Alligator mississippiensis: one gene and its partners. The protein of the gene in region 3 interacts with the protein of the main gene of each other region in a pairwise test. Links are inferred from orthologs where the notes say so. Each region holds a gene or a part of one and is shown on either strand. Other genes may lie near its edges.

Region 1 (6,988 bases), on a different chromosome or scaffold from region 3:
AGCATGCATGCAGGGGCATGCTGGGACAACCAGCAGCAGCACAAATATGTTCCACTGCTATTTGTCCAGCGGGAAATGCGTGCCCCTGTTTGTGCACACTCATCGGGGCATGCCCTATTTAGGTGGGTACAATAAATAGTCACTTTATTTAGCTTATCTGGAACTAGAGACACTGGCAGCTTTAGAACTGCAGAACTGCAGGTTTCTAGCAGGATTTCCAGCTGTTTTGCAGACTCCCAAACTACGGCATGCCGAATCCTAAAGCTTACACAGCAGAGGAGGAGACAAGCCTTTTGATTATCCTGAGAAACCCTTTCAACAGCCTCAAAAAGTGCATGCTTGCCTCCTCGTTTTGCTGAGTCACGGCAGCCTAGGTTTACGCCCTGGAATGCTGAGTAACTGTTTCCATCCGGGCAGGGCTTTTTTGCTGAGTCACAGCAGGCCAGGCGCTCATGTGAGCCTGTGTGTCAATCTCATGGCTTCCTGGGCTGAGATTGCAGCTGTTTGACTTGGCTCCAGTCCCATTCTGGACACAATCAGACCTCAGAATGCTCTGGAAATTATTCCATGCAAGCTGGTTTCTGTTATCTTAAATCTAGGCATGTACTATGCAGGGAAGGAGACGCAAGTTATTTGTCCCCTTAGAGCTAACAAAGCTGACTGGAAGGAACTGGAATGGGACGGTCAACAGCCTTTTGTGATGTTGGGAGCTGTGGTAAAGCAGAGCTTTCTTTCTAACTCCTGCTGATTCCCTCAGTCTGAGAAAGACACAGTCTTCCAGAAAATGTCCCTGTTAGTGAAGCTGTCAAAGGATGTGGTCCCCCAGTAGTGAAAACCCTTATGCATGTTCTTCATCTTGCATATGGGAATCATCTACTTTTGACTTCAAAATGACTACACATCAGCAAAAAGCTAAGTACAGGTGGGAGTGTTTATAGAAGCAGGGCTTATTTTGCTATTTAATATGTAATTTTCCTTTGGCCCTGTCTTCCTGTCCTCTCACTGCCCGTGGTTTTTTTTCCCCTGGTGTGTTTGTGGAGCGACAGGGACCAGTGAACAGATGAAGCCACAGATGGGGGGACTTTGTCGGTACAGTGAGCGTGCTGCAGGATTTGCTAGTGTTTTCCTGATCTGTATGCCCTGAGTCGAGTGGGACTGTATGTGCCCGCAGAGCTTGTCGGTGCCTGTGTACTCCCACCACACTACCAGCAGAATTAACGTAACCTCCTTGTGTACCATCCAAGTGCCCTGGGGAGCTCACTGGTTTCCAGGGCCACTTATTTAATACATAGCATGTGTCCTCTGGAGCATTTCTTATTGCAGCCCTTGGCATGAGTGTTACCATACGTTCAGGCTGGTTGCCAATGCTAGGAGTTCTCCTTGCATTTGGAGCCCTTCCTTGACTAGGATTCCTACGGGCACACTGGATACACTGTCTGGACTGCATAGCCATCAGCATGGGGTATTTTTTACTGCAAACTCCCATTGTTTTGCCTCTCACCTTGTCAACACTTTTTCCTTGAAATTTGTCTGTGCTGTGCAAACCCATTACGCAGAGTGACTAACTGAGGAATCCCTCCGCACTCTATTCCCATGTCTCTAGAAGTGCAAAGCTTTTGGGATCCACCTCTATATAGGCATACTTGACATGTTAGGAGCATATATTTTCAGAGTTCCTACTCTGACCACTGCTCTGCAACTCAGACCGCACCTTTGATCTCTAAACTGAAATTGTTAAATGACTCTCAACAGCTGCACCATATCTGTGGTAACTAGGCTGGGCCATATTGCTGTAGGTAATGAAAAATGAGTCTGTGCACTGTTAACATCCTCTCAATGATGCCATTGCCCATTGCGGGCTGGGGTTGCTATAACACTTCTCCCCAATGAGACTTGCTTCTGTTCTTAGGGGAATGATTTTTAAACTCTGTGAAGCTGTTGCCACCTCTACTGTGTCTCTTTTAATGAGGGATTCAAGCCGCTTTCTCTCTGTTCCATTACAGGCTAAAATTACTGAGTCAACCTTTCCCTCTCACACCAAGAGCCTACATTCAGCTGTGCCCCGGTCTGGCAAATACCCCTTGTTTGTCACGCGGTAGTTTTTAGAGAACGCTGTATTCTCTGCTTTGCCTATCCTCTGGGCTTGCACACCGTGGCTGGAGAAGGGAAACGCAGAAGTGGGACTGTGAAAGGGTTCTCCTCCAAAGGGTCTTCATAGCAGGCCCCAGGGAGGGACAGACCCCAAGCAGACAGACAGTACTGGTTTTTTGTAAAGTACTTCAATGTAAAAGCCTGGAGGATCAGAACTCTTGGGGAAAAGGCCTAGGACATAGTCTCTTTTCCCCTCAGGACCATCATTTCATTTCATTGAAGTTCACTTTAAGTTCATAACACTTAAGTTGGTTTTGCAGTGTCCAGCCTCTTGGCACTTTTCCTGTAACTGTAGCACCAGTATTGTTGCATGTCAGATCCTCCAGGAAAGAGTCAAGATAAAAAGGTGAGTAAAATTTCCTTTGGAAACTGAGGCAGGGCAAATAGTGCTAGGGCAGACCATAAGGAAGTGTTGCAGAGGCCAGCTCTTCAGCATGCCTTCAAATATCACAGACTTAAATAAAAAAATAAAGGGAGGAGTTTCTTTCATACCAGGCAAATGTACTCTATCAACAGTAATGCATATATTAGAGTTTCCCACATTCTACCGGGGCTTGCTGAAGAGAGCTGAATTTCTGTGTCCCAGAGGAGAATAATGCAAGAGGAGAATAGTCACTTCATGGCTGCCACCTTCACTGACACGGAGTCTCTCCAGATTCTCCACGTGCAGCTTCTGATCACTGCACAGGACATCCAAAATCAAAAGCATATTCCCGGCTTTGTGAAGGATGCAGCATCTCAGTAGAGACGCATGTTATACCTGCATATGTGTGATACATTTATTTTATCCTGCATGGTCAATGCAGAAAAATAGCAGCAGGAAGAATGCAAAGATATAGGACTGAGAAAGGAAGCCGAGGGCTTTACAAGACTTTTCTGGAAGGCTCCTGTTGCTTTAAGAGAAAGGGGTAGTCGGAGAGTGGCCCCGCTGAGTCAGCTGTAAAAATGCTGCATCATATTTCCTGAGCAGACAACTAACTCCACTTGATGCAAAAACATATGAAGGCATACAATTCTTGAGGGCCTAATTTCACACCAGAGTACTGGAGCAGTCTGTAATCAGTGCCAGGTACCGTGCAGGCTAGGAGTCCAAGTCAAGCGGCTCTTGCCCTGTTTCCTTGGCAGAACTGCAGTCCCATTTTAACCGTAATCCCCAAAGCAAAGCCAGTGGATCCATTTTTCATTGTCACAGGCCAAGCTTCTGAAATTTGGAGATAAGCACCCCCCATGGGCCCTCTGACTTCCAGTTATTAATTTCCCCAGATAAGTTAGTTGGCAGACACAAACCAGTCGCAGACACAAGCCAGCCAATTAATGAGCCATGTAGTTACTCTTGCCCCTAGACCCAGGTCACTTGAACTATTTGCAGACCTCCAGCTCCACCTCAGGCCCAGACCTGGCACATCAATTTTTAAGTCCTTAACATGTACTTGGATAATTCAGCCTTCTGTATGGGGCAGGGGACAATTCCCCGTCCTCGCATAATACACTACAACTTGCTGTGCTGGCTGTGGAACATGATAGCTAATGACCTTGCCCACGTTCCTCATTTGCATTTAGTCCTCCTTTAAATGGACCCCCCCCAGCCCCCTTTTTTTTTGAAAGTCAGCGTATGTACAAGAAGCTTGGACCATTTATTGTTCTGGATTATCTGGTTCTCATTGTCACAGCAGAAAAGGGGTTAATAAGCCTGGGCAAGCTGCCTAGGAGAAGTCTCTCAGCCCTCTCCTGGTAGCAAAGTATGTATGTCGCAATAAGTTTAAACTTGGATGGAGGCCAGCTGTTTTCTGGGCTGCTCACGTGATCTGACAAAGTATAAAGCAGGACGCAGGGGACGGGCAGCTCAGCTCAGCAGCTTCCAAGAGTCCTGAGACGAGAGAGAACGGAGAAGAGGGAAAGATCATACGAAGGCTGTAGAGGAGCAAAGAAGAGAAGAAAGAAAAGCAAAGAGAAATGGAAACGTCCAGGACGGCCAGCCCTGAAACGTGAGCGAAGGGACTAGAAACAGAGGGAAATTATCCAAAGAAAGGAACAGCCTTGATCTCCCCGTGTTCCTTGAGATAGGGATTTGGGGTCCCATTTCTACCTCTTCTCCACTGGGAATAGGATACTCCCCTCCACCTAGGGTTTGACAGTCTTCACCCTGTCCCCTGCCTTGTTTGGACAGAAGCTGGAATGCTGGTGAACCTCCGCCACCCATGCCCTCCTGGGGTGGGGTACTGCTTTCTCTTCCCGGCCTCCACCCCTTACTTGCTCCCAGAGAGCTAATTCTCATTGTGCAGGGGATAGTGAGGTACCTTAGACGCTAACACCTTTTTCTGCCCATTTTCCCAGCACAACCAGAGACCTGTCAGAGTCCATAAAGGAAGCCACCAAGGAGGTGCATGAACAGGCAGAGAACACAGAGTTCATGAAGAAGTTTCAGAAGGCAGAAGTGTCACTCCAGGAATTTAAGGTACTCCTGGTAGCATTGTTTGGGGCTGTGAGGGAAAGGGTTGGGTGATGCAGGGGGTGCACTTTGGGAATATTTATCTATACCTAATTCAGACTGGCTGTGCCAAGAGTATCATTTGCCCTCCTTTCTCCTTAAGGAATAAAGTCTTTGTATCCCAACCACATAATATCACGTCACTTATAAGATGACCATTTGGCCCAAAGCAACTCGAGGGCTGTCTAAGTGTCTTACCAGCTCCTCTTGCCAATGGTGTGGTAGAGTTGTACGTGTCTTGATGGATGGCAAAGAGGGGCATCATATAAGCCTTGGAAGGCTAGGCTGAGGGGCATCTATAAAAGGATGCATAGGCTGAGGGGCATAATATAAGCCTTGCCTTGCCAAGGCGGCATAAAGAAGATAAAAGAACTCAAGGGAATGCTTTACAAAGAAGTACTCAAGCAACTGAATGCCAGGGGTTTTACTATGGTTAAGTGATGTCTAATGGTGGTATAATTGTATACAAACATATGAAAGGTTACAACACCAGTGAAGGTGAAGAACTCATTACAATCATGATGGTGCTCAACCTCTAGCCAACCAGCCAGATGGACCCCTGGAGGCCATGTCATCCAGCCAGGGGGTTTTCCCACATATTAAAAAAAGATGGCAGTGGTAGAGTGGTGGTAGCTTTACTTGCCACTCCCGTGCTGCCAATTTTCTGGACCTGTGGAGAGCTCCACAGGCAGGATGATGTGGCCCGGTGTGCTAGGCTGCACCCGCACACAGTGAGGCCCAGATCCAGCATGCAGACTGGCCCTGAGCCACACATTTGGCCCGTGGGGCTGGAAGGTTGAGCACCATTGCATTAGAACAGTCTGAGTGGGTATAAATTAGAAGTAATAAGGGTTAATAAAACTGGGACAGCTTGACTTGGTTATTGAAAAGTATTTTTTAAAAGCAAGGTCTGTCAGGTTGTAAAACAGTTTCTGGCACTTTGTCCTTCAATATAAGAACTATAATGTGGTCCTGTACTGAATGTGAGGGCGCAACTGCTCAGCTCACCCATGAATTTGAGTGGACTCTATCTGTTGCAAACACCCAAGAGCTCACTGTTTTTGTTCAGTTCTAGTAGAACAAGTTATAGATGCTATGTAAACCAAACCCTGGATAAATAATCCTGAGCCACATGCCAAAGCCATAAAAAATAGGGAAGCCACCTAAGCTGGAAAGCCCTATTAAACAACAGGAAGTGACGCATGGATTGTCAAGTTGTGTGTGTGTGGGTGATCCGGTGTGTAAATGCTTTATTACTGAGCTGGAAGTGCTTTGTTGTTGAGCTGGTCTCTGTTCTGAGTATAGGTGCATGGGAAAGGAGAATACTGGTGATGTGTTGGAAATAGCTAGGCTAAGTCAATTATCCATCGGTTCCTGAGGATAATCCTAGGTGTTGAACTCCTGCCACTAGAGATCCAGCATAGCCTAGTGAAATCCAGAAGGTGCTCATAGGAACACAGACAGTGAGGCCCTGCAGAGACCAGAGGATAGGATCCGTTTCTAAAATATTCACGTGCTGTCTGAGAGAATCAGATGTGACGGTGGGCTGTTAAATACAGACCTCACCGGTTGAATTTTTCAGCCCCAACCAAAAGACACACAACTTGCACTGATGTCTTAGTTGGCTTGGAAAATATCAGTTAACCTAGTTAAGGCTCCTTCAAGTACCGTTTCTGTATTTTATCTATACTGTTGTCAGACTTTTCCAAGTACCTGATGAACAGGATTAGAGTTTAATGGGTTCATATTTCTGTATTACATTTCTTGTAATTTACAGATTTACTCTGAAAAATGGCTATGTAGAAAGAGCACTTTCTTCCTCATCCAAGTTGCTTACAAGTGTGTGCATTCGGAGTCCTATCTGTTGACTGGTTGCAAAAGTAGATGTACTGCTTTTTAGTGCTGTCGGTCCTGCAGACGCAATGCCAGTCCATGAGAATGAACAAGTTTCTTTTCTGGTTTGTATACCAGCAACAGAACTTGTAAACAAGCCTGAGCCATCTGTGCCGCTTTGTCTTCACTAAGGCCTTTCAAGACTGACTAAGGGCAACGTTCGAATATGGTGCTTATGTAAACATACGCATCCTTTCTTACTGGTGACAATGCATGGGATGAAAAGAAACCCACTTTCAAATAAAGAAACAAGCACACAGCTCATACCAATATTTTCAGAAAATCATGTTTCAGAGATGGAAACATGCTTTTGGTCCCTTTTTTACACCAGCAGTCAACTATCAGAGGAAAGACATTGCTGTCTAGCTTCCAGGTGATCAAAGTGAAAGCAAACAAGTAGCCCTATGTAAAGTTCCAAAAGCAGCGGACTGAGGCTGCAGTTTCAGTGCCTGGGCA
Region 2 (7,670 bases), on a different chromosome or scaffold from region 3:
CAAATCCTATTTATTCCAAGGGTAGCAGTCACAATTCAAGCTTCCCTAATCAAATGTTAAATTGTGATCTGAAGGGAAGAGTAAAATAATGCTGACCTTTTACAGTCAGAACTTCTTTTGCAAGCTACCTTAAGGGGAGGTTTTCATTTCAGTAACATTCATGTGGTTTCGCATTTACACAATCCCATGAGCACTGTAAAGGGCAACAGCACAGCTAGTGCACTACCTTAGCAAAAGAAGCACCACAAAATGAAACACACCTTCCTGTTTCCATTGTCAAAGATGAGCTAAATGAAAACTAAGGCAGAAAAGCCAGATTAAGAATTTTCCAGTTTTAGTTTTAAAACTAACAGAACAATTTATTTTAAAAAAATGAAACCAAGTGCATTCTTTTTGGTTTCTCTTTACAAATTCAGTGTCCTTTTGAAAGCAGCCTCCCCTGCTGTGAAATATAACAGGCATACTGTACTAGAATTAATATTATTGGCTATGCTATGGCTGGGAGACAAAGTAAGTAAAGGAAGACTCACAAGGATGTCTGAACAGGGGACATCCCTGATAAAATTCAAGAAGACCTCCTGCTAGTGGCTTAAGGTATCAGCACAGGTTTCACTGAATTGCTGTCTTGTATATTGATGGTATGCCCACAGTATGCTACAGACACTTTGCAGACACCAGAAGACAACACAATGCTAGCCTCCAAGAGTTCCTAATCCTAGACCCCGACCCTGTGCGGTTTTAAGGAATACATTATTATTAGGAGAGATACTGGCCAACTCAGCAGTTCAGACAGTTACATTCCACTCCAACTTCAGCCTTCAGGATGTTCTTTGCTGCCTATTCTATACCATGTTCTGTTGAATACAAAATTCAGTCAGTGGCAGCAGGTCAGCGATGGAATATGAAGGAGAGGGGTTTGCTTCAACATTTTGTTTGAGGGCAGTGGGGCTGATGTAATTCTTGGCCCTGTGCATTGTGTTTGTTCAAATTATTTTAGGATATTCAGTTAACCCCAACTTGTATGGAGAGCATTTTGGATGCATTACTTAAATGCTAACTAAAGGAATCCTGTTGTATGTAAAAATGCATCGGATGAGATCAGGGGTTTGGGTCTGATGAGATCAGACTTTAAGAAACAGCCCTTTGGCCTTCTGTGTCCCACATAGCTAAGACAACTCTGCTTGCTGAGAGTATGCATACCAGTTGAGCAATACCAATGCTCCCAAGGAAGCATTCCAACTCCCACAAAAGTACCAGGATACAACAGGGCTATTGGTTGTAGCTGTACTGGTCTAAGGACATAGGCAGACAAGGTTCTTTAGGTAAATGCAATATCTTTTATTAGACTATAGTTGGAAAAATTGTTCTTTGCAAGCTTTCAGGTACAAACATCCTTCTTCAGGCACAGGAAGAGTTAAGTCACCTTGCTACAGTGCAAAAATGCAGTGCAAACAGTCAATTATCAAGAGGGTGATAGTTTCCATCCACTCTTGTTTAATATAGAAAAGCAAAGCTAAACCAAGTCGGTAAATTTAAACACCGTAAAGCTTTACAAGTTACCAGGCAGTCAGGCATTTTACATCTTCATCAAAAGTTAAGCTTCCAGCAATCCCATTTTCTAGAGTCATTTCTTCCAGCTCTATAATTGTATAGCAACCAAGAAAGTAATTAGACCCAAGGATGATGCTTTATTTTACAGTTTGCGCTAGCTGCTAAAAAAGGATGTCTTAAGTAATTTTAAATGCAAAGATTTCGGCTGAGAAAAAAAACAAAAGAATTTCAAGTGATCACTTGATGTTTACTTGACACAGAAAGCTTTTCACCTTTTCAAGGTTACGTGGTTGAAGCACTCCACTGCTGTCTTGGAATTAGAACCAGAACTTTGTTCTAACATAAATGCAAGCCAAATGGTAGCTGACAAGGCCAAGGTAAGAGCATGAAACAGCCAAGAGTAATTACAATTTCCCCCTCAGCTTGATTCCTGAGGCCCATAGGGTTGTGAATGGCAAAGAACCCCAAAGACTTTTTCAAAATAGGACTTTTACCTTGAAAGTCCATGCTTTTAGTTGCTCACATCTTCCAAGGGGCACCCTTTAAGAGGGTGAGAGTGCAAATGACTTAGTGAAGGACAGCCAACCTTTTAGCTCTATTTCTCCAAGCATCTGGATTGGGCTTTGGCAGAAGCACGTACAGTAATAGCGTACAGTGAAAGAACAGCTCTCTCACCCCATCTTAACAATGGTTTAGGCCTCAAGTCCCATGAGACTCCAGAAGCACCAGGCTGGGCCAATCCCATGGCAACTCAGTACCCGCTCTTAGACGTGGCGTCTTGCAGCCAAAGAGAGTGGAAATGCCTTGCTAAACAGTTAGTGTTTTACTTCACAGGAATTAATGAGTTGAGGAGAGATGAATTTGGCTACAGCCTGGTTCCCTAAAACATCTTCATCTTGGTCTTGGAAATTAAGGGTGTGATGCTACCAGCATTTATGCATACAGAAGTCAACATGCAAGCTCTCCCTAGCCAGCTGGCCCCTAGGGTGCAGCTGACAACCCATTTGGCACATTACTAGTGGTGCCCTGGCAGTGGATCCCTCTGGGCTCTGGGAGCTACGCCCGGGGAGCAAACGCTTACATGGCCCAGCTCAGGCAGGGATGCACTGAGGCTGTGCCTCCCACGCCCCAGCCACCCGAGCTGTACCGACATACAAACCCAGATGAACTGCACTGCACTGCACTGCACTGCACTGCACTGCACTGCACTGCACCGCTGCCCCGCCCCGCTGCAACCCCCGCGCTCCGCAAGGTCGGGCCGAGCAGCCCTCACTACACCTGCGGGCAGGCGGGAGGCGCCAGGCCCCGCCCCGGTACCTTGTCGTCGGGCTCCCGGCCCAGGCGCTGCCGCAGCTCGCTCATGCTGAGCCCCGCTGCGAACCTCAGCAGCAGCGCGTGCGCCCAGGCCCCAGCGTTCCATCCGCCTGGCGCCGCCGCAGCCAATGGGAGCAGCGCGAGCCGGGAAGGAGGCGAGGCCACTCGCCTCGCCCCGCCCTGCCCCTCCTGACCCGGATGTAGGAACTCTTCTCTTCCTCCTCCTCCTCCCCGGCCTGTGGTGGCTGCCATGATAGGCGTACGCCGATGGCGGTTGTACATGAGCCATCCCCCAGACGCCGTGAAGCTCCCTGTAGCAGCCCCTGGGCACGGCACTCTTGCTTTGGGAGCATCCCAGAGGCAGGGCCGAGCAGCCGACCCTCGCAGCCTTGTGAAACAACGCGGGTTGTAAGGCCGGCCTCGATTGGTGGGAGGAAACGCGCTGCTTGTTACCTGCGTGGGGATTGGCGGTTGCAGAGCACGTGGGCGGGATTCTGTCCAGAATCCCAAGTAGGCGGAACTACCGGTGACTCCCAGGCTCTGATTGGCCGGAAGGAGGAGCTTTCATTTTTCGCGCACGATCCCGCTGGTGGGCACGGATCGGTAGATTGGCGGCAAGGAGGCGGGGCTTCAGGTTGCTGCGATTGGTGGAGAAGCCGGGGAGGCGGGACCCGGACGTGAGGTCAGAGGCGCTATAAAGAGAGCCGTTGGCGCGCCCCGAGAAGCAGCAGTCTAGTAGCTTTTTCTCGTCACCATGTTCGAGGCGCGGCTGGTGCAGGGTTCGGTGTTGAAGCGCGTGCTAGAGGCGCTTAAAGACCTCATCACTGAGGCCTGCTGGGACCTGGGCTCGGGCGGCATCAGCTTGCAGAGCATGGACTCCTCGCACGTCTCACTGGTGCAGCTCACGCTGCGCTCCGAGGGCTTCGACACCTACCGCTGCGACCGTAACATCGCTATGGGCGTCAACCTGACCAGGTGCCACGGGGGCGGTTGTGGGGGCTTGGAGCGCAACGCTTGTCCCGTTTGTGCCGCGCGCGTGCGCGGTGACGTCACGCCGGCGCCCCGCGCTCAGGGTTTTCCCGCGCGCAGTGGCGGGAAAGAACCCCTGCGGGGGGAGGAGTTTCGGCAGCTCTGCCTGGTGGGAAGGGGAAGGGTGGATGTGGCCCCTGCAGTGCATTGCTCCTCTGGCCTGGAAACGGCTTGCAGGGCTTGGGGGGAGGAAGAGTGGATGTGGTGGGTCAGGATGCCTTGCCTGGGCTGGTCTAACTAGTCTAGCCCTTGCTGCAGCATGTCCAAAATTCTGAAGTGTGCTGGCAACGAAGACATCATCACGCTGCGAGCAGAAGACAATGCAGACACCCTGGCCCTGGTGTTCGAGGCCCCAAGTAAGTACCTGTACTTCACAGAAGTTTAGGACTGGAAGAGACCTCATGAGATCATTGGGTCCAGCCCCTGGACAAGAAACACTACTGGGTTCAAACAACCCCTGCAGGGTGTGCATCTAGTCTCCTTTACCCCTGTGTTCTCACAAGGTCCCTTCCAGCCCTAAACTTTTGTGAAGATCTCTAGGTTGTGTCTGCACCACCTCCGCTGGGAATCAGTTCCAGAGTCTGGTCACATGAGCAGCAAAGAAGTCAGATGAGTCCTCACAGGTATGGTGCCTCAAGCCATGTTGGAGCTGCAGGGGTCTGAGAATGAGGTGATAGGCAGGGATTTTGTAAGGTCATCTCTTGGGCCAACTGTACAGCTGGGATGCAGGAGGCCTGATAAATGTCTTGCTTCCAAAAGTTTGTCTAGCTCTTATCCTGTGCTGTTTATCTAATCAAAGAGATCACCCTATGAAATCCTTGCCTCAGCAAAGGTAGGAAACACTTAAAAGCTCACATGCGCATAAAAATAAACACCCCCTCAAAAAAAAAAAAAGTGTCAGTTTTTGAACTTGCAGCACTACTTGAAGACTAAAATGAGTGCCTCTTATTAAGTTAATAGGCAGATGAGGCTGGAAGTGAACACTTGAATCATTGAGTCACAACCAGGGTCCCGCAGTGTGTTGAAGTGCTGCCAGATATTTTGGAGGTATGCAGATATAATTAGATAATTGGAGGCTCAGGCTTGTCTCTGTCTGGCTGGTTCCTCTCCATCTTCACTGATTGGTTCTCCTGAAAGCAGCTGAGCACTGTAGTATACAGATGAGCCTTTGAAATTGTACAAAATAAAGTGGCATCCAAAGTCAAGGCCCTTCGCCATGATGGGGTGGTGTGAGAACCACTCATCTGGTTTATGCTAGTACCTAGTTCAAAAGCTTTGTGTGATGTGTATACTTTTTTTATTTATTTATTTATTTATTTATTTATTTATTTATTTATTTTTTTTAGCTGAGTACAGTAGATGACGATCATCTAAATGACCAGAAGCTTTTATGGATACTTGTGTAGTTGCACCAAGAAATGTCTTGTGTCCTGTGACTTGGGGTGGGGTGGCATGCTCATAGCTGTTTGATAGGGCACCCAAGGGGAAAACTAGGAGTCATGGGCACAAACTCCTGGAAGATTGATTCAGGCTCAACATTAGGAAAAACTTCAGTTGAGGTGTCCAGCCTGGAATAAGCTCCTTCCAGAGATGGTGCAATTGCCTACCCTGGAAATCTCCAAGAGGAGACTAGACAGTCACCTTGCTGGGGTCACCTGACCCTCGGTTATCTTTCCTGCTTGGTGCATGGGGCTGGACCTGATGATCTTCCAAGGTCCCTTCCAGCCTTACAATCTATGAATATCACTTTTTTTCTTTTCTGTGTAAAAGTTTAAGAGGATCTAACTGCAAAACACAGGTTTAACTTTGCTTCACCAAACACACAGATGTATTTTGATGTTTTTCTCCTAGATCAAGAAAAGGTCTCCGATTATGAGATGAAACTAATGGATTTGGATGTGGAACAGCTTGGCATCCCAGTAAGCCATTTTGTTTTGTCTGAGCTAAATTTAATTGCTAATACTCATAAGTGAGAGTAAAATGTTAATGTTGAAGGCTTCTAAAATTTTCTGTGTTCCCAGTTCCTCACCTCAGTGGGATAGTTTTAAGATGGCCCATGGGAAGCATTAGGAATAGCCTAGAGTTTTTGAAGTGGTGATCACTGTGGATAGTGGTTGACTTGGCTCTTCAGTTCTCAAATGCATGATCAGGAGGACAGTGCGTTTTGTAACCTACCTTTTTAAGCACTTCCTTTTACAAAGAGAGGTGCACTAATTGACCCCTGTTGGCTATGCCCACTGAAGGTAAAGCTCACAAGTGATTATTCATAGTTTTGAGGTGGTTCAAAAGGGAGTAGGCTCCCCAGTGCTTTCTGGAAGTACTTGAGTAAAGTTCGGTATTCAGATTTGCCATAATGCAGTTCAGCAGTCTATTCTTTATAAACACAGACTTAAGGTATTTTCAAAGGATGTTATGTAAGCATATTAGATTAAAGGTATAGAAGATATTTAAATAAGTCCTCCTTTTTTTTTTTTTTTTTTACCAGTTTAAGTAACAGGCTTATCTTTTTCCTCAAGTAAGACAAGTGAATTTGTCCTAGACATGAGGACTACAACCCTTGAGATGCTGTTCTCCTTTTTCATAAGGAGTAGAAATCTTCTACTGTAAATTTTTAAGCTGTAACATGCCTTATTTAGTTCAGCCTTGAGGACCTATGATCTGAGACCAGTTTCTGTTTTTTTTTGTTTGTTCTTTTTTTCCTTACAGGAACAAGAATACAGTTGTGTTGTGAAAATGCCTTCAGCTGAATTTGCACGCATCTGCAGAGATCTAAGCCATATTGGAGATGCAGTTGTTATCTCATGTGCAAAAGATGGTGTCAAATTTTCAGCTAATGGAGAGCTAGGAAGTGGAAACATCAAACTGTCCCAGACCAGTAATGTTGATAAAGAGGAAGAAGCTGTAAGTTGAGATTTCCTTTAAGAGGTCTTTTAAAAAAATAAATAAATAAATAAATAATAATAATAATAATAAAAAATGACATCTGTTGCTGCCACGCTCTACAAGTTACAAGTAGAATAATAAAAGATATATTGAGTCTCTCTGGGTTTAGAGAACTAAGGTGGCTGAAATGATTACAGCAAACATAATGGAGCATTTCCTATATCTTTACTCCAGAACCCTGATCTAAAGGGGGTTTGAAAGAACAGAGGTAGGAAAAAGTTGCTGGTCTACAGCAAAACTAATATCCTTGATTTATGCAAACGCAGAGCTTAGGGTTGAACAGCTGGTTCAGCTGAAGTTGTGCTAGTACCAGGCTGTGCTTAGAGCTGGAACACAAAACAATTTCTCCATCCAAACGGGTAAGAGGACAGAAATGCTGCTAAGAGCCAATAACTTTGATTGCCCAAGAGGTGCACTACTTGTTTTAACTTTTTTGTTTGGTTTTTAAACATCTTTGTTAGGTTACAATAGAGATGAATGAGGCAGTCCAGCTGACTTTTGCTTTGAGGTATTTGAACTTCTTTACCAAAGCAACTCCTTTGTCGCCTACAGTAACGCTCAGCATGTCTGCAGATGTTCCCCTTGGTAAGAGGAGGCAGCTGTCGCTACTTTTTTAGTTGAATTCCAAAATCTTGACCCTCTTGTAAACTAAACTTTTTTTTTGTGGGTGCTACAAGTTAACTGATTTACCTGTGGTGTCTTTCTTCCCTTTTCCTCAGTTGTGGAGTACAAGATTGCTGATATGGGACACTTAAAATACTACCTGGCTCCAAAGATTGAGGATCAACAAGAAGGCTCTTAAATGATCTCAGACTGAGGAAGTTCCACTGAAA
Region 3 (7,920 bases):
AAGACTCCGAAAACATGTCCCCTCCCCCCAAGGAGCACAGGAGCGAGAGAAGGGAGTAAACAGTGGCTGCTACCAAATATGGAATTAGCAGCGGGATGAAGCCATGGCCCAGGCATCCCGACATCCTGCCGGCACATCCACGGGCCAAGGCCCGGCCTGCCGCAGCGGTCGTCGGGCAGCCGCCAGCCACGGCAGGGCCTCACCCGCGCTCCAGCCGGGGCACAGCGACGCAGGGGCAGGAGATCTGAGAGCGGCAACAGGAGGAGCAGTCTCAGCCTTCCCTTCTGCAAGCACGACCCACCCCGAGCGCGTGGCGGGACCTGCCGGGCTCCCCACAGCACAGGCTGCCTGCGGCAGGCAGGGGCGCTGCCCCGACACCCCAGGAGCGCCCCCACCCCACGTGCCCGCGACAGCAGAGCAGCACAGTGCAGTCTGCAGTCGCGGGCCCTTCCTCCTCGCAGCAGCAGCATGGCACTTCCCCTTTCGGCCTGCGTCCCCTTGCTGTCCCATGGTCTCCCCTCCCCCAGGACGGCCAGGCACGCCAGCACTGGGGAGGCACTGAAGTTATGTGCTCCACCCCATGCCCTCTCCTCTGGGCACAATCGGCCTGTTGTCTGGGGATTAGCGCTCCAACACCCACACCAGCCCAGCCCCATCAGCAGTAGCTTCCACTGGTACCCAAAGCCTCTGGGGGCAGCTCAGCAGCAGGACCAGGGAGGATGGGAGTGAGGGCTCTGCTCTGGAACGGTGCCCAGGCACACGCACTGGTGCTGCAGAGCTGCCCTGCATGTTTGTATCTCCTTGGCCAGTGACTGCTCCCAGGCCAACCCTGCCCTAGACGTGCCCCCAGCGGGGCTGGGGGAGGGAGGGGATGGACGTGCAGCAGTGCAGACCTTGGAGGAAGAGCCTGCCGGCCTGGGCCCTACCCTGACATGGCTCCCCACTGCGGCTCCGGGCAAGTCACTCCAATCAATGCTGGGCGCAGCACCCGCCAGCGTCCTGGAGCCCGCCCTTCCCTCCCAGGGGATGTGCCGATGCACCAGGTATGAGTCGGGTGCAGCACGCTGGCTTCGGCTCCCACTGAGACCCAGTGGGAACTTGGCCAGGTTGGAACTGGCTCACCACGACAAGTGGTTATTAATACCTCTCATGGCGTCAGGGCACTGGCTGGGAACGTCCCTCCTGCCGAGTTGGCAGCTACAAATGGCTCATATGGCATGGTGTGTCAGACCCCAAAAGGGGCAAGCACCAGGGGCTCAGATGGCTACTGGGGTGGTCTGGCCTGACGAGGCTCCCTGCAGGCATGGCAGTCCTGGCCCCTCACCTCCTCCTTGCCCCTCTGCGCTGGCCGGCTCCCGAGCACGTAGTGGGGCACCGAGACCACAGAGGTCTCTGGCCGAGCTGTCCCCGGACCCCAGGCACGAGACACGGAGCTGCTTCCAACACGGGACTCGCTCCTTCCTGTTTCCCAGGGTAGCATTTCTGACCTGGGGAGGGAGCTCAGCAGCACGTGACCCAGGCAGCCCCGGCAGGCCACAGCCTTGCCAGGACCAGCACGGAGCAGCCTCCAGTCCCACACAGGCCACTTCATCAGCACTGAGCGCAGGAAACCCAACCCCAGCCCAACCAAGAGCAAAAGCTGCCCACAGGGTCAGGCTTACTGCCCATCCGCCGGGAGGCCCAGGGCTTTGCAGGACAGCAGCCCCTCCTGCTCTGGTCAAATGCGGTCCGCAGCGGCACCACTCCCCAGCTGGAGACCAGCATGTGTGCCTGAGGCAGCCAGTCTGGACCCTACCAGGCGCCACCGTCACTAACAGAACGGAGTCTCCCCACCTGGGACAGGATCACTGGTGACACCGTCTCCTCCCCATGGGATTTGCCCCATGTACCTGAGCCAAGCTGCCCTCCCCAGGCCAGCGGGAAAGCCCCTGCCCATGAGGGCCAATGCTCCCTGCTTCCAGGCCCTTGCCTTGCACAATTTTCTTCAGCCACACAGTCCTCACAGCCTTCACTTGGAGGCACCAGGTCACTTTGTGCCAAGCCCCGTTGTAGAGGAGAAGATTAAAATTAACTCCAGGCCAGGACCACCAAGGCCCCATCACGAAGCGTGGGCAAGCGAAAGCAACCCCAGCCTCTGCTGGAGGGCCTGAAAGCTGGGCACGAGGGGCAGGAGGCATCCGACGCTGCCAAGCTGGTGCGATGGCATTGCCTCCTGCCCTGCACAAGCAGCAGGACAGCAAGCCCGAGGCAGACATCACGATGCGCAGCATGACACTTCAGGCGCTACTCTACCTGACACGTGGCGAAGGGGAGCGCAACCTCACCCCCGCTGGGGGGCACAGGCGGGCTCAGCACTCATGCAGGGGCAGCACTTGCCTCAGCTGACAGGACTGCTGATGGCTCCACAGCAGTTGCCTCAGTTGCCCTGTAGCCCTGCAAGGCAAAGCTCTGGTGGCACAGCACCGTTGCCCCCGCGCTGCCCCGCAGAGCTCAAAGCAGTCCCACGTGCTCTCCTGCCCATGGAGATACAGCTCATGTCTGCACAGGCGCCAGCGCCAACAAGAGCCAAACAGCATGCCAAGGGACTGGCGGATGGCGCCCCTCCGAAAGCCCAGCCGCAGCGGAGCGGGGCAGCCGTGCCAACATACAAGAGAGGGTCTTGTGCCTAGAGGGGCGCAGCCGGGACGTGGCTCTAGTCAAGGCGACGGCGGCTGGCCCACCTGACCGTGCCCCCATACAGAGGAGCAACCGTGAGCAAACCTGCTGCCTTGAGTCCGGCCAGCCGTTCTCCAGGCAGGAGCAGTCAGAAACAGGCTCACATACCTGTCCAGACCCCTCACGTGGAAATGCACCCCCAGCCCTTCATCTGAGAGAAGCTATCAATCGCCTCACCTGGCGCCTCGCTGTCACAGGAAGGGCTTCGAGATAAAGGCCCCGCCACGCTCTGCAGGGCATGTCGGGGCCCGAAGCCGCTGCCCACAGACCAACGCATCTGCCTGTCCTTCAGCCTGGAGCACAGGCCCACCTCCCTCCCAGGCAGCTTCCCCCTCTGCCCACAGACAGGCAGCCCCTGCGACCTATCCCCTTCAGAAGTCCCCGGGCCCCAGCACGTGCTGGGGACAGCCCGGCAGCTGCCTTCAAAGAAACACTCCAGCTCTCAGGAAATGTGGGCATGGGGTGAACCCGCAACTGGGGCAGGGGAGAGGCACCCCCAGGACAGGTACTGCCAGGACCCCCAGCCCCACGAGGCAACAGAGCTCAGGGGAAGGCGTGAAGGCGAAGAGTCATCAGGTCTCATCAGGTCAGGGCCACAGAGCCGGGAGGATGCCAGGAGGGCAAGCAGCAGACCTCCCGCAGCGAGGAGATCCCTTCCCTGGGGCAGGGACCAGGAAACGCTGGTGGTTTCACAGCCCAGCAGCTGCATGGGACCGGGAAGCCTTACACAGCACAGCGCTGCGGACCTGGGGCTGGCACAGGGAGCGGGCGGGAGCCAGGAACCCTGCAGCAAGAGCTGCAGGACACAACTGACTAAAAATGGAAAGCGCCCAGCTCCGCGCTGCCAGGCCCCGCGGCCACGTCCATTCATCACCCGCTAAGCCAGACACTGCACGGCTCGGCCCCCCGGGCCACAGCCAGCTGGGCTCCACGGCAGGGACCCCCGCCCCCAGCCACGGCCCAGACAGGCCGTCTCGTCTCAGGGAAGGGGGCAGAGCAGGGGGCAAAGCCCCAGGTGCCAACAACGCCAGGGCGGCCCAGCCGAGCACCGCAACACCCCCGGCCCCGGCCCACGTGCGCCACGCTCCTTACACGCGCCCCGCGGGGGAGGGGGCAGCAGGCCCCCCGCGGCGCCGCCAAACCATGGCTCAGCCGCGAGTCAGGATGCCTCACACCCGGGACGGGCGTTGGCACGGCTTCCTGCCCCCCCGCCGCCCCCCAACGGCAGCTGCGGGATCCAGCACCAAGTGCGGCCCCTCCCGCACCCGCCCTGGGGCCCGGCCCGGGGCTCCCGCGCGCGCCGCCTCCCCCCACCCGCACCGCACCGCACCAGGCCTGGGCTCCGCCGTGTCCTCCCGCCCGGGCCGGCCTGCATCTGCTGCCACCGCCCCGCCCCGCCCCGCACACAAACCTGTCGCACAAAACCGTGCCCCGGGCCCGGAGCCGGAGCCGGCGGGCGGGCGGGCGGGCGGGCGGGCGCCACCAGGGCCTGCGCGCGGGGCGGAGGAAGGAAGCGGCGGGCGGGCGGGCGCGGAGCGAGCAGGAGCCGCAGGCGGCCGCGAGCTGCGCTTCCTGCCAAGAGGCAGCGGGCCCCACCCCGCCCCGGCCCGGCCCGGCTGACACGGCGGCACGGCAAGGGGCCGGGCAGGGCCGGGCAGGGCACCGGCACAGCCGGGCGCCGCGCACGGGGACCCCAGGGAGGGCTGCGCAGCGCGGGGCGGCCCGGGCCTGGGGGCCCGCACGCCCAGCGCCCCCCGCCCCGCACATCGCGGGGCGCCCTGCCGCGCACACCTCTTAGGGGCACCCCTCCGCACGCCCACCCCGGGCGCCCGCCTAAGCAGGAGACCCCTGCGGCGCGCGCTCTGGCCGCCCACATCTGGGGACACGCATCTAAGCACACACATCTGCCCCCCCGCTCCGCGGGCACGCACATCTGCCCCCTCCCCCCCCCGTACCTGGCCCGCGGGCTGCGCGGCGCTGCGGGGCGGACGCGGGGCTGGGAGCAGCACAGGGCAGGTACAGAGCGGCACTCTCAGCTTCCCGCCCCACGGCCACTCTGGGCCCTGCGCTCGATGGTGCCGGCGCAGTGAGGGCGCCGGGCGGGGTGAGGCCAATCGGGCGCCATCTTGGGTGCGGGCAGCGCCGCGGCCAATGGAGGCTCGAGGCGGCTCCGGCCCCTCGTGGGGCCGCGCGGTGGGTGCTGGGAGCCGCGGGCGCTGACGTCATTCCTGGTGTGTTGGAAGGAGGCGGCGGCAGCTGCGGAGCCGGGGTCGGCGGAGGTACCGGCGGGCGGGCGGGCGGGGCCGGGAGCCCAGGCGCGTGCACCCCCCGGGCGGGGACCCAGGTGCCCCCCCCAGACAGGATCCCCGGCGTCCGGGCCGCGGGCAGGCGGCAGCGCCAGGTCCCGCCCCGCCCCGCCCCGCCCGGGACCCCCCCCCCCGGGCCCGCCCCGCTCGGGCCCCCCTCCTTCCGTGGCTGGGCCCCTCTCCCTCCCCCTTGGGCCCCCCCCGCCCGGGCCAGGTCCCCCCCTCCCCCTCGGGCCGGCCCCGCCCCCCCTCCCCCCCCGGACGTGGCCGGCCCCGCTGACGGGTGCGCGCGCAGATGTCGGTGTCGGTGGCGGCGGCGGCGGAGCGGGCGCCGCTGGCGCTGGCGGACGGGGTCGGGGTCGGGGACGGGGTCGGGGTCGCGGACGCGGACCGGGACCTGCTGGACTTTCTGCTGGCGGAGGGCGCGGAGCTGCCGGCCGACCCCGGCGCCTGGGGCCTGCTGGAGCCCGAGGTGAGGCTGGGCCCCGGGGCGGGGCGGGGCGGCCCCTACCCCTACCCCTACCCCTACCCCTACCCCGCCCGCCCGCCACGCTGACGCTGGGGTCTGCAGCTCCCGGGAGACGAGGACGTGGACGCTTTCCTCAGCGCCCTGCTGAGCCCCTTCGCGGAGGGCCCGGGCTGCTCGGCCCCCGCGCAGCAGCCCCCGCACAGCCCCGACAGCCGGGCCGCGTCCCCCGGCAGCCCCCCCGGCCCCGACAGCGTCCAGTTCGAGCACAACTACTCCCTGCTGCGGGACGGGCTGTGGCTGCAGCATGCGCCCGCGGGACCCGCCGACGGCGACGTCTTCATCGACCTGGGTGCGCACGGGCCGGCCCCGCGCCGAGCCGCGAGGGGCAGGAGGCTGCGGCCGGGGCTGCCCCGAGCCCCCGGGCCCAGGAGCTGGTGGGGGAGGCTGCGGCTCCGTGGGGCGGGGGTCGTCTGACCCCTTCCCTCCTCTCCCAGACGCGTGGGCCGGGCTGGAGAGCGCGGAGGAGACCTCGGGCAGCGAGCAGAGCTTGAGCTTCCCCGTGGCCGTGGCCGTGGAGGACGTCGTGCCTGGGACCCCCACGCAGGTACAGCCCCTGCTCCCAGGAGTCCTGCAGACGGGCCGGCAGGTGCCCGCGGGGAGGCCTGTCGGGTACCGCGGACTAGCGGAGGCTCCTGCGCGGGGACAGTCCTGGTTCCCGGCGCCCGCCCCGCCTGGCGCTTCCTTCCTTACCCTGGGGTTTGCTCGTCTCCAGCTGGACCTGACGGAGGAGGAGAGGCAGCTGCTGGAGAAAGATGGCGTCACACTGCCGTCCCACCTGCCCCTCACCAAGGTGAGCCCTTGCCCGCTGGCACCGCACCCCTCCCCAGGCAGGGGTTCAGGTGTGGGCACAAGTGCTGAGCAGCAGCCCCAGTCCCCGGGGCCGTGGCACGTGGCTCAGCCTCGGTGGCTGGAAGGGGCAGGGGGCCAGGCCCCCACTGCTGCTGGCCCCACTCCTGTGGCTGCCCCCAGCCGGCTGCTGTGCTGGACCTGCAGCCACTGCCCCTCGCCCTCCTGGCAGCCAAGGCGTCACCTTGTCACGAGGGGCCTCGCTGCGCTCATGCAGGGAGCGGGCAGCGGAAGGATGGAAGCTGCCCGGCCCGTTAAACTGCCAGGCCTGTGTGCAGCCAGCCTTGTCCCGGGGGCCAGGGCTAGCGGCTCTGCCCTGTCCGCCTCCCTGCCTGTGCAAGGTACCTGCTGGCCGCGGGCTAGTGGCTGCACGGCCCAGGGTCCAGCCTCGCTGCCTGCCTTGGTGCCGGGGGCACGGCCAGTGACAGCAGTGACTGTTGCAGGCTGAGGAGCGGCTGCTGAAGAGGGTGCGTCGCAAGATCCGGAACAAGCAGTCGGCCCAGGACAGCCGCCGGCGCAAAAAGATCTATGTGGATGGGCTGGAGAGCAGGTACCAAGCCCGGCGTGGGCGGAGGGAGCCACGCATCAGTGATGTGGGCATGTCCCCCTGCCACAGCGCCTGTAGTAGGGGCTGTATCCATGACCTGGGGCACGGGGAGCAGTTCCATAGGAGGTCCTGTTAGCCCCACAGCCTCGCCCAGCTGCCATGCTGCCCCTGCGGGGCAGCTGGAGCTCTTGCTCCTGTGGCTGAGGGCCCAGCCCCTGCTGTGGAGAGCCAGGCCCTCTTCCTCTGGGAGCCTCCGCCTCTTCTGCTCACGTCCCATGGAGCCCTGCCCTGCCTCGTCAGCTGGGGGCTCCTCCCAGGTGCCTAGCACAAGGGCCCTGCCCCCGTAAGACCTTGGGAGCCCAGTGCTAGGAGGGCCGAGTCATGTGCAAGGAGCCGGGCCCTCCTGCCCTGCGCCGTCAGCCCCCAGGCGCTGAGCTGAGCCCCCAAGTCTGGTCTGGCTGATGTGCTGTCTTGTGTCCCCTGCCTGCCGGAAGGGTGGTAGCCTGCACGGTGCAGAACCACGAGCTGCAGAAGAAGGTGCAGCTGCTGCAGAAGCAGAACATGTGAGTCCCCAACGTGAGCACCTGGCAAGGGCAGCGGGGCCCTCTGTGGTCCTGAGCCCCTGCAGGGCAGCACCAGCGACTGGTGCAGAACAGTCCGAGCCTGTTTGCCAGGCACGCTGGAACTACGGGACCAGGGGGGATGGGAGGAGGCTGGCCTGGCCCGGGGCTGCGGCTGTGCTCACCCCGTTTCCTGCTCTGCTGCAGGTCGTTGCTGGAGCAGCTGCGGAAGCTCCAGGCCCTGGTGCGACAGTCCTCAACCAAGACTACCACAGCCAGTACCTGTATCGCGGTGAGTGGCCCAACAGCCAGGCCAGGGCCTGTCCCCTGTGCCGCGGGAGCCTCTGCCAGCCCACACACTCTCTCCTGCAGGGGCGCAGGGCTCCCAGCAGCGTTCGGTCCCCAGCCTTGGGCCAA

The links.
Region 1: the proteins of CREB3 (region 3) and HMOX1 interact in a two-hybrid assay, tested with the Homo sapiens proteins (2 studies listed by BioGRID and IntAct). The two-hybrid records come from large-scale screens. The link is inferred for Alligator mississippiensis from reciprocal best matches to the Homo sapiens genes CREB3 and HMOX1.
Region 2: the proteins of CREB3 (region 3) and CDS2 interact in a two-hybrid assay, tested with the Homo sapiens proteins (2 studies listed by BioGRID and IntAct). The two-hybrid records come from large-scale screens. The link is inferred for Alligator mississippiensis from reciprocal best matches to the Homo sapiens genes CREB3 and CDS2.

The regions. Positions count from the first base shown.
Region 1 is NC_081827.1:101,609,689-101,616,676, reverse strand, and holds the start of HMOX1 (heme oxygenase 1), read left to right. Parts: upstream 1-3,984; 5' UTR 3,985-4,104; coding exon 4,105-4,136; intron 4,137-4,485; coding exon 4,486-4,606; intron 4,607-6,988.
Region 2 is NC_081830.1:25,945,089-25,952,758, reverse strand, and holds the start of CDS2 (phosphatidate cytidylyltransferase 2), read right to left. Parts: upstream 3,005-7,670; 5' UTR 2,914-3,004; coding exon 2,830-2,913; intron 1-2,829. Other genes in the region: PCNA (proliferating cell nuclear antigen), read left to right, coding at 3,620-3,840, 4,153-4,250, 5,746-5,813, 6,601-6,795, 7,299-7,422, 7,557-7,639. UniProt on the Homo sapiens protein: Catalyzes the conversion of phosphatidic acid (PA) to CDP-diacylglycerol (CDP-DAG), an essential intermediate in the synthesis of phosphatidylglycerol, cardiolipin and phosphatidylinositol.
Region 3 is NC_081826.1:303,315,000-303,322,919, reverse strand, and holds the start of CREB3 (cyclic AMP-responsive element-binding protein 3), read left to right. Parts: upstream 1-4,912; 5' UTR 4,913-4,994; intron 4,995-5,316; coding exon 5,317-5,493; intron 5,494-5,592; coding exon 5,593-5,839; intron 5,840-5,984; coding exon 5,985-6,094; intron 6,095-6,262; coding exon 6,263-6,340; intron 6,341-6,839; coding exon 6,840-6,946; intron 6,947-7,437; coding exon 7,438-7,506; intron 7,507-7,710; coding exon 7,711-7,795; intron 7,796-7,920. UniProt on the Homo sapiens protein: Endoplasmic reticulum (ER)-bound sequence-specific transcription factor that directly binds DNA and activates transcription. Plays a role in the unfolded protein response (UPR), promoting cell survival versus ER stress-induced apoptotic cell death.